Tamandua tetradactyla: one gene and its partner. The main gene of each other region encodes a partner of the protein of the gene in region 2 in a complex. Links are inferred from orthologs where the notes say so. Each region holds a gene or a part of one and is shown on either strand. Other genes may lie near its edges.

Region 1 (7,492 bases), on a different chromosome or scaffold from region 2:
GAGAGGAATTGAAGTTTATTCTTGGAAAAAACAAAAAAAAAACCTCTCCTCTCCTCCCCCAGTTCAGGAAGGTTTTCCCAGGGGCCCTGCCCCCCCAAATGGTCATCTCTCCTTTGTGACCCCAGCTTCTGTCTGTGGCCATTAGGATGCCGCTACTTGGGTGAGGGGCTCCTCCAGGTATTGCACCAAGGCCTGGGCCTGCAAGGCGGAGAACAGAAATTAGTCCCACACTGGCTTGCTGGTAGAGGGATCCTGAATCCAGGGTCTACCCCCAATGCCATATGCACAGATCACCAGCCTCAGCCCGCTCATAGGAATTAGCCCACACCAGGCATGCACTGGGTGGATGTGAGAAGGGTAAGGTAGTGGGGCTGGGAGTGGCCATGGTGATGGAGCTTGAAGGCTGTGCCCAGGGTTATGGAAGAACGAGGCACATACACACCTTGGCCTTGAGCATCCCGAAGCCCACGGTCTCCTTGGCATACATACACAGCAGAAGGTTGGCCACTCGGGTGATGGCCACACGGCCCTCCTGGTGGGGGAGATGTGATGTTCTGCTTGGCACCCTGGTCCCTCTCCTCCCACAAGGGCTCCTCTTGCCCCAGACAGACTCTATCTTCCCTCCATGCCTAAGGCACAGAAGGTTCAGCTGGTGGGTGGGGGGCGGGGGGGGGGGGGTGCTCTGGCCATGGCCTTGGACATTAGAGTCCAGAGCCCAGCTTCCAATTTCAGCACAGCCACCTCCAAGTTACCCTGGGAAACTCATTTATCTATCAGAAACTCAGTTTCTTTTTCTGTAATTTCTGTCTCATCCTAGCTGGTGTGGGTACCATCACACATGAATGAGTTTTGTATCTGTAACAGCCTGTCCAAATGGATGACATTATTATGGGCTCAACCCAAAGATACTGAGAGGGGCTTGGGAATAGTAACCCAATTTATGTTTATCTTCTTTTTCCATGACAAGGTTTTTCAAACTGAGGTTTGACCTAGGATTAAATTAATTTAGAAAGTAGATCAGCATTTAAAAATAAAAAAGAAGAGAAATGAAGTGCATTGCATGTTTCATGAAACTTTTGTTTTAGTGGATGCATTTCTTATGGCTAGGTTGCAGTCGCGAATATTTGAAAACCTTTGCCCTATAGCACCAGCTTTAGTCTAGGCACAATATAGGAGTCATCTATTGAACTGAAATGGCCTCTTTGGTTGGACAGGGGATGGGGAAGAGGTAGTCAGCCAGCCGAGTCTCCATGGAGAATCTTTTGGGCAATTCAACCTTGGGGTCTATTCAGTTTGGTTCAGCAGACCTTCATTAGGTATCCACTGTGTGCGGGGCACCAGGTGTTACACCCCTGCTTCTCTGACTTCATTTTCTACTACTCTTTCCCATGCTTATGCCACTCCAACCACACTAACCTTGCTGTTCCTTGACCAAGCACCTTTCTGCCTCAGGGCCTTTGCACTTGTTGCTCTCTCTGTCAGAGAAGTTCTTTCCCTCAACAGCCACATGACTCACTCCCCAAATTCCTTCAGATCTTTGCTCAACTGTAAACTTTTTAGTGAGACTCTAACACATGCCCCCTACAATCTCTATCTCTTTTCCCTACTTAATTTTTCTACATAGCATTTCCATGACCAAACTTTTTTTTTTTTTAACCAAGCTTATTATAAAAAATATGTGACTTTAAGCTTCACGAAGACTGGGGTTTTTGTCTATCCTGTTTACTACTTTCCCTTCAGTTTGGAGAAAACTATATTTACATTCAAGTAAATATTTCTTGAATGTACAGACATGAGTGAGACAGTTCCTATTTCCACGCAGTTCACAGTGGAATGTCCATTTCCTTTTTCTGGATTTCATTTCTTTTGTCTGTAAAAGGAGTTGACTAGGTCCTGGAGACCTTGCCAGCTCTAAGGTTTTGAACCTGGGATGACAGCACCTTGTGTTTGTACCTCACTGTATGGTTGATATCCATTCTTTCATTTGAACTTCACTACAATTGTGTGAGACAGGAAAGGTGGGGGGAAGGAGTATTGTTTCCAACTTAGAGAAGTAAGGAAGCTCCCAGAACTTAAGTGACTTGCCCAAGGTCCCACAACTGATAAGTAGCTGGCAGAGACCAGAACCTCAATCAGACCTCGGGTCCAGGGCTCCCTCCTCAACACCACCTGATGCAATGGGTCCTGCTTACTCTAAGTGCTGTCGCACACCAGCTCTTAGTACTCGTCCAGAGCTCCCGTTCCTGCCCCTCTGACTATCCGGGCGGAATCCGGGTCACCCCGTGGGAATCCCCATTGGAGGACAGAAGCTAGGCTCTTCTCTCCATACCATGCAGTCCATGAGAATGAATTTGAGATTGTCTTCGTTAAACGCTTGGTTCCCGTTCCGGTCGTACGCGGCCCAGATATTACTGGCGATGGCCGCGGTGACCCGGGCATCCGTGTCCCCGTAACCCGAGTAGGCCAGCAGCGATCCCTCGTTATTCAGCAGCCTGGCGAGGGGTGGGGAGGGATATCGGTGTGCTTAAGACAGGGAGTAGGACCTCTGGGGTCCCATCACAACCCCACTACCGGCGCTTCTTGGAAGCAAGTGTCCGGGCCGAGGGTGTTCGGGACCGTGCCCCGGACATTCAAGCACGCCCCGCTTCCCTTTCCGAGAGGGGCCCTCCCGGCCGGTTTCCCCAGGCCTCTGCCCCCTCTGCCGCCTCCTCCCTTCCGGGCGGTCCTTCCCCAACCCTCCCTCAGACAGCCGCCCGCCGCCCGACTCGGGCTTCAGCGCGCGCCGCTCGGGTCCTCGGTCCGCACTCACAGGGTGCTCTGGACGCCTCCAGTGTTGGCTTGGCTTAGCACCTGGGTCAGAGCTTTGGGGCGCAGCATGCCTGCGACTCCGAACCCGGAACTTTCGCACACAGATCCGCCGAGGTGCCGCCTGCTGGCCTCCGCCGGCCACTCCCGGTAGTCCAGCCGCCCTGCTCCCGACCGCCCTGGGAGTTGTAGTTTCCCGGCCTATTGCGGGTCTGACTCAATACCCCCGCCGCCGCGGAGGCCTCTGGGAGTTGTAGTTCCTGTGCGGTCGCGGGGCACCCTGGGAACTATAGTTTGCCTTTCCAGTCAGACCACGCGGTTATGGGGGAAAAGAGCGGGAGTAAAAGGACAGAAGTCCTACAAGGAGGTTTAACTCCTTCGGGGAGAAGTCGTCACGTCCGCTTGGCAAACCACGGTTCAATAATTTGAAAAACCTTGTAGTTATGAAGTACACCTTTGGTTACTTTTCAAAGCAATGTCCTGTGTTATACACAATTCTTTTGGATGAGGCGATAGGTACTATTATCTTGAGGAAACCGAGGCTCAGAAAGACAGGAGGAAACCGAGGCCACGCAGATCAAACCCAGGTCTCGGGAACCATATTTAACAGTCCTTTATTAAGGCCCCATCCCTCGGGAGGATGGGGACAGTTGTAGAGATGAGGTCCTAGGTGGACGTCCCGAGGTGGGAAAATTCAGCCTTCACGTCAGGAGGGAGAAGGCCCAGCCTTTGGAGAGAACTGGGCCTCCCGAGAAGGACCAAGTTATCTCACGGAGCAGAGATAAAGCGGCGACACAGAAGGTCCTTTGTCCCGGCGCGGGAGTGACCCGCGGAGGGGGCGGGGGCAGCTTTGGGAAGGACTGGACCTCCCAGCGGCTCCGGGAGGCTGGGGCGGGGCCCCCGCGGCAAGGGGCACGCCCCCCGCCCCCGCCCAGCGCCCCTCCCCCCACCGCCGCCCGGCGAGCCCCAGAGCCGGCTCCCGGGCGCAGGGCTCGGCCCTGGGCGGACCCGGTGCAGTGGCCCCCCCGGGCCGCCCGGGGCGCTGTGGCTGCGGCAGGTCCGGAGCGGGTGGCGAAGCCTTGAGGAGAGGCGGGGAGAGGGGAGTGTTGGAGGCACCCGAGCCGAGCCGGGCGGGCCGGGCTAGCGGGGAGGAGGAGGAGGAGGAGGAGGTGGAGAAGGAGGAGGAGGGGCCCGGACGGGCTGGCGGGCGGCCGGGTGGCGGCGGCGGCGGCATGGCGGAGCCGAGCGGGGTTGAGACGAGGCCCCCCATTCGGGTCACCGTCAAGACCCCGAAGGACAAGGAGGAAATTGTGATCTGCGATCGAGCCTCGGTCAAGGAGGTAGTATGGGTGGCGGGGACCGCGCGCCGTGGAAGGGTCTGCGGAGAGATGGGGGGGGGGGGGCGGTCCTGAGGGACGGTCGGGGAGTCCGGGAAGATCCCGGACAGGAAGGCGAGGGTCCAGCCGGAACCCCGAGGAACGGTGGGGAAGGAGATGCTGGTAGGGAGCGCCCTACGAGGGTAAATCCGGGGAGCATGGCGTGTGCTGGGGGGGACGGGGTTTGCCGTGGGGCCAGGACTGGGGGCGTGGTGGAGGGTGAGGAGGGGGCCCCCTTGCACAGAGAGCACTCTGCACTTGCACAGAGACGGGAGAAGAACCCTGGGTTACTGGTCGGGGTTCGAGGCGCTATGGCAGAGTAGGGAGTCCAGGCAAGGTGCTGAAACAAGAGAACGGACGCAGGAGAGCACCGGGTGCCTACTCTATGCCTCAGAGGAGGCCCACCGTTTTAGGAGAAAACCTGGGGTAGTAGGGGGCGGATTTTCCTCTGCCCAGATTCTTTCAAATTGAAGTGGTTTCCTTTGGTGGTCAGCTCCTCTAGGGTTTGTGCAGTGTGCAGTAGGTGCTCAATAAAAATTTGTTGAATAAGTGAATGAGGGAATATTGCCTCTGTTTCTCACCCCCAGTGGCTGCTCCAAAATTTCACATAGGCGGGGCTTAAGATAGGCCATCTGGTTGGAAGGGAGGGCTTCTGGAAGCTGCCTTTGCTTAGCAAGTGCACTGTTTTTCCTCAGAATGATTGTTATTTTTTGTTGGGAGTGTGCTGATAGTTGGGGAGTCTAACTCTCCCCAAGCTAGCCCTCGGTGCCATCCCTGCCCCCCAACTTTATAAAATGACTCTATTCCAGAATTTAAATTCTTTCCTCTGCGAAGCTGAAATTTAAATCAGTTTTAATTGAGAAGCAGTGTGTCCAGGCCGTTGCAAGCGTGGGCTTGGGTGTCAAGGCCTGAGTCCCATTCTGAGCAGAGTAAATTGCCTAATCTCTCTGATCCTTAATTTTCTCAACTTTCTAGTGGAGATAATATCTCCCAGGATTTAGACTGTTAACTGATGAATATCAAGGGCTATTTGTTGTTGTAGTTCAAAGATGGCTGAAGCAGAAGCTGGGAATAAAGAAAGATAGAAAGTTGGAGTCTGAGAAGAGAAGGCTGAAGGGAGACGGGGCCTGGGTCTAAAACTGTTGAAGGAGTTGGGATGGAGAGGGCTGCCCATTTAGCACCCTCATAGGGGGTTGGGTGAAGGGATTGAAGGTAGGATGTCAGAGCAAGGGCTTTTGGGGTGGAAGACCTTGGAATATAGCTGAGAGAGGAGCCTCTCACTGGTCCATCTTGGTTAAGAAAGGAGCTGCTTATTGCAACTGGAGGGGTGGAGAAGAGACTGCAGAAAGAAATTCCCGTGACTAGAGTGGGAGCAAGGGTATGCCAGAGGCTCTTGGAGAGGGGCAGGGTCCCTGGTGGGTCTGGGCTGGCAGCCTCCTCAGTGACCTCTGCCTCTTGGTCACAGTTCAAAGAGGAAATCTCTCGGAGATTTAAGGCCCAGCAGGACCAGCTCGTCCTGATCTTTGCCGGAAAGATCCTCAAGGATGGGGACACACTGAACCAGCATGGAATCAAGGATGGACTCACTGTGCACCTGGTCATCAAGACTCCTCAGAAGTAAGTTCAGAAGATGAGCAGGCCCAGCCTCTGACTAGGCCCTCCTTTCCCTTCCCCGTCTAACATTTTCTCACCCATGGCTCAGCTGGACCTGGACGGCCTGTGTCAAGGATGTCCTGCCTGGCAGCACTATGATATCACCTCTAGGAGAAGGGAAATTGACTTACTCCTCCCACAATGCCCTGAAGACAGATAAGACTAGCTCCTTCCTCCCTCTCCCTGGTTTACTGACCACCCCTTCCCCTGCTGCTGCCTCAGGGGCCCTCAGCAGGTAGCTTGAATCAGAGCAGTGGCTTCTCTGTGTGCCCACTCCACCCACCTAAGAGTCTCCTTTCTCTGTCCCCAGGGCTCAAGATCCGGCTGCTACGACTGCTTCTTCCCCCTCCACTCCAGACCCTGCCTCTGCACCTTCCACGACACCTGCTTCGCCCGCCACCCCTGCCCAGCCCTCTACCTCTGGCAGCACCACTTCAGATACTGGCAGTGGAAGCCGAAGGAGCAGTGGGGGCGGTCCCTCCCCAGGGGCTGGGGAGGGACCCCCCAGTGCTCCCGCCTCCATACTCTGTAAGCCCCTAGAAAGGAGAACACAGTCCTACTTGGTCTGGGGAGTGAGGGAAAGCCAAGAGCAGGCAGAAGGATGGTCCCTGCTCTGGTCTGGTGGTCTGGTGAGGGCGGGGGGCTTCTGGACATAGGGTTCCAGACCCTGGTATTCAGCCAAGACCAGTGTGCGAGGGCTTCCTGAAGGAGGGGAACATGGCTGAGTGTTAGCAGTAAGGGGAGAAATGGGGCTGGGGATGTGGAAAACCCAGGTCAGGATTTTGGAAGACCCCGTGAGTTTGGGAAAGTGGTGGACCTGGCTGGGGTTAGCTAGAGAATATTTATTTGTTCATTCAACAAGCCGCCAGTGGTTGCCCACGGTGAGCTAGGTACTGTGCTCAGCTCGGGGTAATCTAAGCTTCTACCATCAAAGAGGTCTTGGCTAGTAAACTGACATCTTGCCAGCCGTGGATCACGGCTGGGACTATGGGAGTAAGTGGAAAAGGGAGATATGAGAGGCAGAGACAGATGGGGCCCATTCTGGAGACCAGGTTAGGGAAGGGCTATCGTGGCAGATGGTGACCCTGCCCCCTCCCCACAGCTGGTTTTGGGGGCATCCTGGGGCTGGGCAGCCTGGGCCTAGGCTCTGCCAACTTCATGGAGCTGCAGCAACAGATGCAGAGACAGCTGATGTCCAATCCTGAGATGCTGTCGCAGATCATGGAGAACCCTTTGGTCCAGGACATGATGTCTAACCCTGACCTGATGCGTCACATGATCATGGCCAACCCTCAGATGCAACAGCTGATGGAGCGGAACCCCGAGATTAGCCACATGCTCAACAACCCTGAGCTCATGAGGCAGGTGGGTATGGGAGAAGGTTGGGTTGAAGGGGGATACCTAGAGCCCAGGCATTCCCTACCTAGCCTATTCCTGCCTTGTCCTACACTGCCTGATTGACTGATTCATTCATTCATTAATTCGGCAGCCATATTTTAAACCCTGGTGTACAGTGATGAAAATACACAGGCCTAGCTTTGCAGAAGTTCCTGGTCTCAAAGGGAAGTGGGATAGGTAAACAGGTATTTCAGTGTGGTTGGTGTTACCCATAGGTACAGTTCAGGATCCCCTCAGAGCACAGAGAAGGGCTCCTCACC
Region 2 (6,983 bases):
CCTCCCAGATAGGGGTGGAGAAGTGGGGGAGCAGAGGGCCTAGTTCTAGCAGCAAGCCGAAAAAGAGGTGGAGGACATATGCGTCTTCCTCATCACAAGAGGCTCATGGACCCAGCTGGCCTTCTCCAACCCTTGCCCTCTGCAGGCTCAGACGTCAATGGGCTCCCGGCTTCGGTTTTGCCTCTTCACGACAAACACCCTCTGTCCTGACACGGTCACCAGCAGTGTGTGTTCTCCAAAGACCACTGGAGGAGAGACACACCTTCCCCCACCCCGGAGAGGGAAGGGAGCACAGAATTAGTGGGGTGCAATGACCTCCAGTGGTCACTCAAACTGGCTGGGATCAAAAGCCCAAGAAATTCTATGGTTCAAGGCTCAGAGACTTGAAGATGAGAGGCTTTCATGAAATCCCCTGCGTTCTCATACTCAACTCTGATGCACGGGAGAACCCCTAAGGGAAGAGGAGCCAGAGTCAGGGACCCCAGGAGATGTGGAAGGTTGTAAGGAGAAAGATTTTTCACCCCCTGAAAAGGAGAGAAGCAGCCTTTGGGAGCGACCCCCCCCCCCCCCCCGACCCTCCACCCCACGAGAGGTGCTACAGCTCACCAGACAGGCGCTTGAAGGGTATGTTCATGCCGTGGTGAAGCCGGAACCCGCAGGCCGTGCTGACCAACTCAGAGATGGCGCTGGCTGCCTGCTCGTCATTCTCTAGATCCCCAGATGACTGCGTGCAGACAGGGGAGGATGGGAGAAATTAGCGAAGAGAGTTGGGAAGGAATTCCACTCACTTTGGCTCTAGCATCTGCAACATGCCCATTTTGGAAAACAAACCTAAGACCTTCCTTTGATGTGACAGCCTCCTTTTGGTGTCATCCTATTTCTCATCCTTATATTACTGGGTTTCACTGAAGAGCAGCGACTCTCATCCATTTCTTTACTGACCACTCTCTCCTAGTCCCTTGAAATATAATTTCTTTCCACATTCTCAAAAATCAATACCTGTCCCTCAAAATGACCACTGACTTGCTAAAAACTCCTCCTCTTTCTTGGTCTTCCATTTGTCCCCTGTCTATGGAGTGTAAAACACAATCATCCTCTTTGTCCTTGAACTTCTACCTCCTCCCCCACAACTGGGTCAGTGATGTGCCTGCCAGTGGCTTGGGCTTCCTCTTTTCTATGCCTGTCTCAACTTCCTTTTCCCACCATATCAATATGGGCCTCCCACTAGGTTAAGTTCACTGTCCTTTGCTTTCTCGGACATCCTGTACCTCAGTTTCCTCATCTGTAAACTGGGGACATAGAGTACATGCCTTACACGCTTGTAAGGAATAAACGTAAGATTGGCAAGATGCTTAGAACAGCTCCTGGTGAAAAATAATTTAATTTACTGTAATTCTACTTCAGACTCAATGCCTGAAGTCAAGCCATCAAAATTTCCCTTATCCTCATCCTCCCCAGACAACTGCCTTTCTCGATTTCCTGTTTCTTAAGGCACACTCATTCTTCAGGGATTCTGAGTTCAAAATCTTACCGGTGAAGTATCTCCTCCATTCCCTATATCCAGTCATTACCAAGATACTGATTCCTCCTGTAAAATCTCTTCTCTCCTTTCTCCTTCTCCTTGCCACCAGCCCAGTCTCACCGCTGGATTACTGCACAACCTCTGGCCTTCTAAACTTTGCCACTTCCAGTTCACCTTCATACCACTAAGCCATTTCATCAGGTCAAGTTTATGTTCAAAACCTTCAACAGCTCCTTGTTCTCAAGATTCAGTCCAAACATGTGAAGCTGGCCCTAAAAGTCCTTCACAATCAACTTTTCCATTACAGTATCCTCTGTTTACTCCAAATCATTTGTACATAAAACCAGTTCAAATAGGTTGGTGTCACACTCCTGCAAATACGTCCAATTTCCAACCCCAAATACTCTCCTTCCCTTCTGTTTGTCCATAACCATCCATCCTTTAAAGCTCAGCTGAATTCTTACCTCCTCTAAGAAAGTTTCCTTACCAAAACACAACATACAAAGTAACACAGAGGGCTGGTTCCTTCATTCTCTGGACTCCTTCAGTAGCCCTTACTACTCACTTTGCTTTCAATTTTTGACATAGCTTCTAAGCCTTGTCTCTTTAGATGAAATGTCTAGAAAGCTCACACTCTACTGTGGTGTGCAACAAAATACAAACCTTCATCAATAAATACAAATGAAGACATTCTCAAAAACAACCCAGCTCGTGTCAGTTATCAACAAGCCTGTAACTAGTTGTGTGACTCTGGTCAAGTCTTATACCTCAGAAAAACTAGCGACTAAGATTCTAGAGATTTAATTAACTACTGAAAGCTTCCTATATGACGGCCACGATACTAGGGAATGAATGCCAACAGACAAATGAGGCTCCTAGTGGCAATGCTGAAGGGATTACCGGGCCACGTATATTAGAGGACCCCATTTAGGTTCCCAGAACGCACCGCCAGCACTGCACCTTCACTCAGCACCAGGTAGCCGAGCTGGTCTGGGATTCGCTCCAGCCCCTGGGTCAGTGCAGAAGTCTAGTGGATGAAGATGCAACCGGTGAGAAGCACGACAGGAAGATGGCTCTCCGTCCCCTTCACCTACTGACCCCAAACAACTTCTCCCGGCGGTCCCGCAGGCTTTTTTTTCCCAGCCGGGACCCTTGGAGACCCTCTTCCCTCCACGCGGTCTTCCCCACTGCTCTGTGCTTTGACTTGCTGAGCCTTCGTCTGTCTTCACAGTCTCCCCGCCCCGGGGCTCCCGTGGCCTTCCAGGTTCCCACCCTGACAGCCCCCAGGAAGCCCTTCGCAGCCCCACTAGCCCCTCACTCAGACCCCTCTCCAACGCCCTCGTGCCCCGGTCTAGCAGACCCCTCCCCAGCCACCGTACACCCTCCCCCAGGTCCCTCTGCAGGCCTCCACGTCGCCACCCCTCCTGTCTCCATTCCCTCCCGGCCAGGGCGGTCTGGGGGTGACCAAGGAAGCTGGGGGACGGGGACCCGAAGCCCCCCGGCGTGTCCTCCCGCGCATGCGTCCTCACTCACCATCGCAGGCCTTAGGTACCGGGGGCGCTCGCGGCCTGAGAGGTAGCTTCCGGCTCCGGACCCAGGTCACGTGCAACCAGTGGGCGGTGTCCTCTGCCCCGGCCGCCGGGCTGAAGCCCCGCCCTAGCATGCGGATTGGGGCCTGGGCTACGTCATCACGCCGGATCTGCCAGTGCGAATCACCGCCTCCCGAGGGCGCGCGCCGATTGGTCAAAGGCCCCTTTTAGCACCTAGCTCCCCGCCCCGAAGCGCATGAGCGGGAGGAGAAGGGGGCGGTGGGGCGGTGGGGCGGGGCGGCGCGGGGCGGCGGGGCGGGGCGGGGCGGGGCGGCGGGGCGGGGCGGGGCGGGGCGGCGGGGCGGGGCGGGGCGGCGGGGCGGGGCGGGGCGGGGCGGCGGGGCGGGGCGGGATGGGGTGGTGTGTTCGTGCGCACTAGCCGCGCCCGAGGCTCTCCTCGCCGTAGGCTGGGCGCGAGTGGGGCCTCAGGCGAGTCCTTTTCACGGTTTCAGACCTGTTCCCTAGAAAACGAGCGACCAGAATGAAATCCCGCACGTGAAAGCTGTTCAGATGTTACTCTTATGCCTGCTGCCGGCACATGGTCCCCGGGTCCTTGGCCCCGCGGTTTTGGTGCGGAGCCTGGGATGGCGGGTTGAGTCCCGGGCCGCCCGACGCGCCTGCGGTGCTGGTTCTTCTCTGCCGGGAAAAGTGAGAGCCCGTGCCTTGCAGTCACTTTTGTATGTTGCACCATCACTACGTGTGTGTAAACAGGGGGGATGCGTGTTTTAACTTGATTGGACAGTTTCCGGACCTGCTACCATAGTGCTGTAGCTAAGGCCTTCTTGGTGAGGTAAAATGAAAGGTGATTCTAGAAATAAAACAATTTCTTGTTGGCGAGGATGTGGAGAAGCTGGAACCCTCTTGCGTTGCTGATGGGATCGTAAAATGGTGAAGCCGCCGTGGGAAACAGTTCCCTGGCTCTTCGGAAAGTTAAACGTAGAAATACCATGTGACCGGGCAGTTCCACTCGAGTATAAGAGAATCGAAAACACGATCACACAAATACTGCCCGTAGCAGCATTATTGGTTGTAGCCAAACTTGGAAACAGCACTAATGATTAATACAGAAATTGTGCTTTGGCCGTATACTGGAAAAGTATTCACCCGAAAAAAGTAATAAAGTTCTGATCGACGGCAGGACATGGATGAACCTTGAAAACACTTTATGCCAAGGGAAAGAAGCCAGACACAAAAGGAAAAATAGTGTATGACACATGTATATGAAGTGTCCAGAGCAGGCAGATCCATAGAGACAGAAAGATCAGTGGTTGCCAGGGGCTGGGGGAAAGAGGAGAATGGGAATTTCTTTGTGGAGTGATGAAAATGTTCTGGAATTCGTGGTGACAGTTACAGACCTTTATAAATATACTACAAGCCACTGAATGTTCACTTGGAAAGGGTGAAGTTTATGGTATATGAGTTATATCTGGATAAAAAATATATGTACTGCTCCTTGAGGGGAAAAGCTAATGTAAGAAGGCAAATGCTTTTTTAAAAATGAGTTATGCTGTCGCCTGCTCTGCGGGAGACATGGATTCGATCCCTGGTCCACGCGCATCCCCCAGAACAAAAATCAAGCAAAGAAAAATTCAACAAATGGTGCTGCAATAATGGGATGCTCATATGGAAAAATAATGAAATGTGACCCCGCCATACAGCATACAAAAAAAAAAAAGAGTTATGGTACATATTTAAAGTTATAATATAAAAATTAAATTAGAAGAGAATGTAAAGAGAGAAGGTTCTGTGGACATGCTTAATTTGCAAGCCCTCCCCTCGCTTTAGACGTTGATGGCATTTTCTGGTACCATTTTCTCTGTGCTTAGCAGTTCACAGTGGCTTCATTCTCCCCTCCCTCCCTCCCTAACTATAGGTAATATCACCCTGTAATATCACCTCCCTTTTGCAGGTGAAGAGAGCACACAGCTGACGGGTGGCAAAGCCAGACTCTAGCCGGCGTTTTCTGATGTTCAGGCCTGTGCTTTTTCAATCGCTCCATGGGCCAACTATTTGTAATTAATTTTTTAGACTAATTTTACCTCCGAACTTCCTGCTTTCCTATTTCTTAACCCAGAGGAAGCCATAGCAGGATAGTACTTGTCACCATCAGCAGCATCTTCATTTTCACGAACAGCTCAAATCATGCTACTCAAGCGGAGAGCAAAATTGTTCATTCCTTTATTCAGTGAATGCTTATGTCACACCTTCTGTGTCCCAGGCACTCTTCTTGGAATGAAATCCAGAAGATTTCATTCTGGAATTGAGGGTACAGGGTGAATAAAAACATGTTATTTATTGTTCTCAAGGAGCTGTGAAGGTGAGCCATATAACAAAATAAGAAAATAAATGTGTTAAATAGTAAGAAGTACTACAAGGAAAAACAAAGCAGAGTTCCACTTAAATCAAGTTTGAAAACGTGCAAAATGAAATAATGTATGGTTTAAGGCTATATGTTCGTGTGGCAAAATGGTAAAGAAGATCCAGGGAATGATAAGCACAAAATTTAGAATAATGGTTACATCCCCGGGGCAGAGAAGGGAAGGGAATCAGGAAGAGGGACAAAGGGCTTCAAAAATACCGGTAATCTTCTGTTTCTGAAGTTCTAAGTCTCTTTTCTATACACACACACTCTCTCTGTCTTCCTCTATTTAATATGTGAACGTTTTAATAGTTTTTAAAAACCTTCGAAACAATAAAATAGGTCCTGTGAACTAGCGTCACCCCAAGTTACAAACCCAGCAGAAATGCGATGAATCAGGTCGCGTTCACACCACGGAATGCGCTAGAGCTATGAGAATGAATGAGCTAAAACCACACACAATGACACGGTGACAGGAATGAGCCTCACAAACTTGGCGTTGAGGGAAAGAAACCATCACAAAAGAGAGCATTCCGTGTGATTCCTTTTATATAAAGCACAAAAAGCAGGCCCAACTAATGCACCCTGTTAAGAATGAGGTGAGAGGGTATCTCTGGGGGAAGGGTTGAGACCGGAAGGAGGCAGATGAGAGGAGGCCCTCTTGGTTGTTCGGTGAATGCTGTTGTGTGTGTGTGTTCGGTTAGTGAACATCTATCTAGTGGGCTGCACACCTGTGACGTGAACTTTTCCTGTATGCATGAATTATACTTTAATAAAGAGCTAAAGAAACAGAGTGGAGGAAGAGTGGGTGAAAAGCTGGGTGGGGATGGGTGTGAGGCTGAGCAGAGAGCCGAGGGAGCCAGCCAGCCAGGCAGGCATCTACTTCTCTGGGGCAAGAACATTCACTCTTGGGAATGCTCATTGTCCAGTGCTTGTTTTGTCTTGGACAATGAGGTCCATGAAGACAAGGACCTGCTTTACCTTTGAAATTGCAGCTTCTACCTCCGGAGCTTGCATGCTGCTAACCTACAGTTCGATTTTTTTTTGCCTTCCCTGATTTTGTACTCCCAGTCTCTCCCAGGATTTCCTCCTGATTTTCAGAGATGTTTTTCTTTGGTCTCTGGTCTCTAACTCCTTTCTTTGCCCTTCCACCATGCTTCCCTCTTTTGCAAGGGAGGAGGCAAATCCTGACAGGTGAATTAACTTCAGTCCATCCCAGAAGGAGAGCTGGGCTTCTCGTTCCTGTCCAAGCCCTTTCCAGATGATTCCAACATTCCCTCTCTCAGCCGATACCCAGAAGTGCAGCTTGACTGGAAGCCACACATCTGCCCATTTACCCCCTCCTCACACCGCCCCCCACCCCCACCCCCAGTTGTTCCATGAGGAACAAGTATCTCTACTGCAGCCCCTAGTGGCTTTTCGCTCACCTGCATATCTCGCCTAAAAGCTGAGCAGCTCGTGGTTCCGGGCTTTGATGCCTTGGACAGTTTATTCTCAAAGCACACTGCTGTTA

What was found.
Region 1: LAMTOR4 (region 2) and LAMTOR2 share a complex: the UniProt entries of both Homo sapiens proteins name them as parts of the ragulator complex. The link is inferred for Tamandua tetradactyla from reciprocal best matches to the Homo sapiens genes LAMTOR4 and LAMTOR2.

The regions. Positions count from the first base shown.
Region 1 is NC_135330.1:9,089,198-9,096,689, reverse strand, and holds the start of LAMTOR2 (ragulator complex protein LAMTOR2), read right to left. Parts: upstream 3,028-7,492; 5' UTR 2,878-3,027; coding exon 2,810-2,877; intron 2,493-2,809; coding exon 2,330-2,492; intron 533-2,329; coding exon 443-532; intron 199-442; coding exon 142-198; 3' UTR 1-141. Other genes in the region: UBQLN4 (ubiquilin-4), read left to right, coding at 4,038-4,145, 5,647-5,798, 6,145-6,362, 6,937-7,199. UniProt on the Homo sapiens protein: As part of the Ragulator complex it is involved in amino acid sensing and activation of mTORC1, a signaling complex promoting cell growth in response to growth factors, energy levels, and amino acids.
Region 2 is NC_135349.1:8,406,625-8,413,607, reverse strand, and holds the start of LAMTOR4 (ragulator complex protein LAMTOR4), read right to left. Parts: upstream 3,055-6,983; 5' UTR 3,042-3,054; coding exon 2,988-3,041; intron 2,550-2,987; coding exon 2,469-2,549; exon of another isoform or gene 2,450-2,468; coding exon of another isoform or gene 2,423-2,449; intron 725-2,422; coding exon 607-724; intron 246-606; coding exon 148-245; 3' UTR 1-147. UniProt on the Homo sapiens protein: As part of the Ragulator complex it is involved in amino acid sensing and activation of mTORC1, a signaling complex promoting cell growth in response to growth factors, energy levels, and amino acids.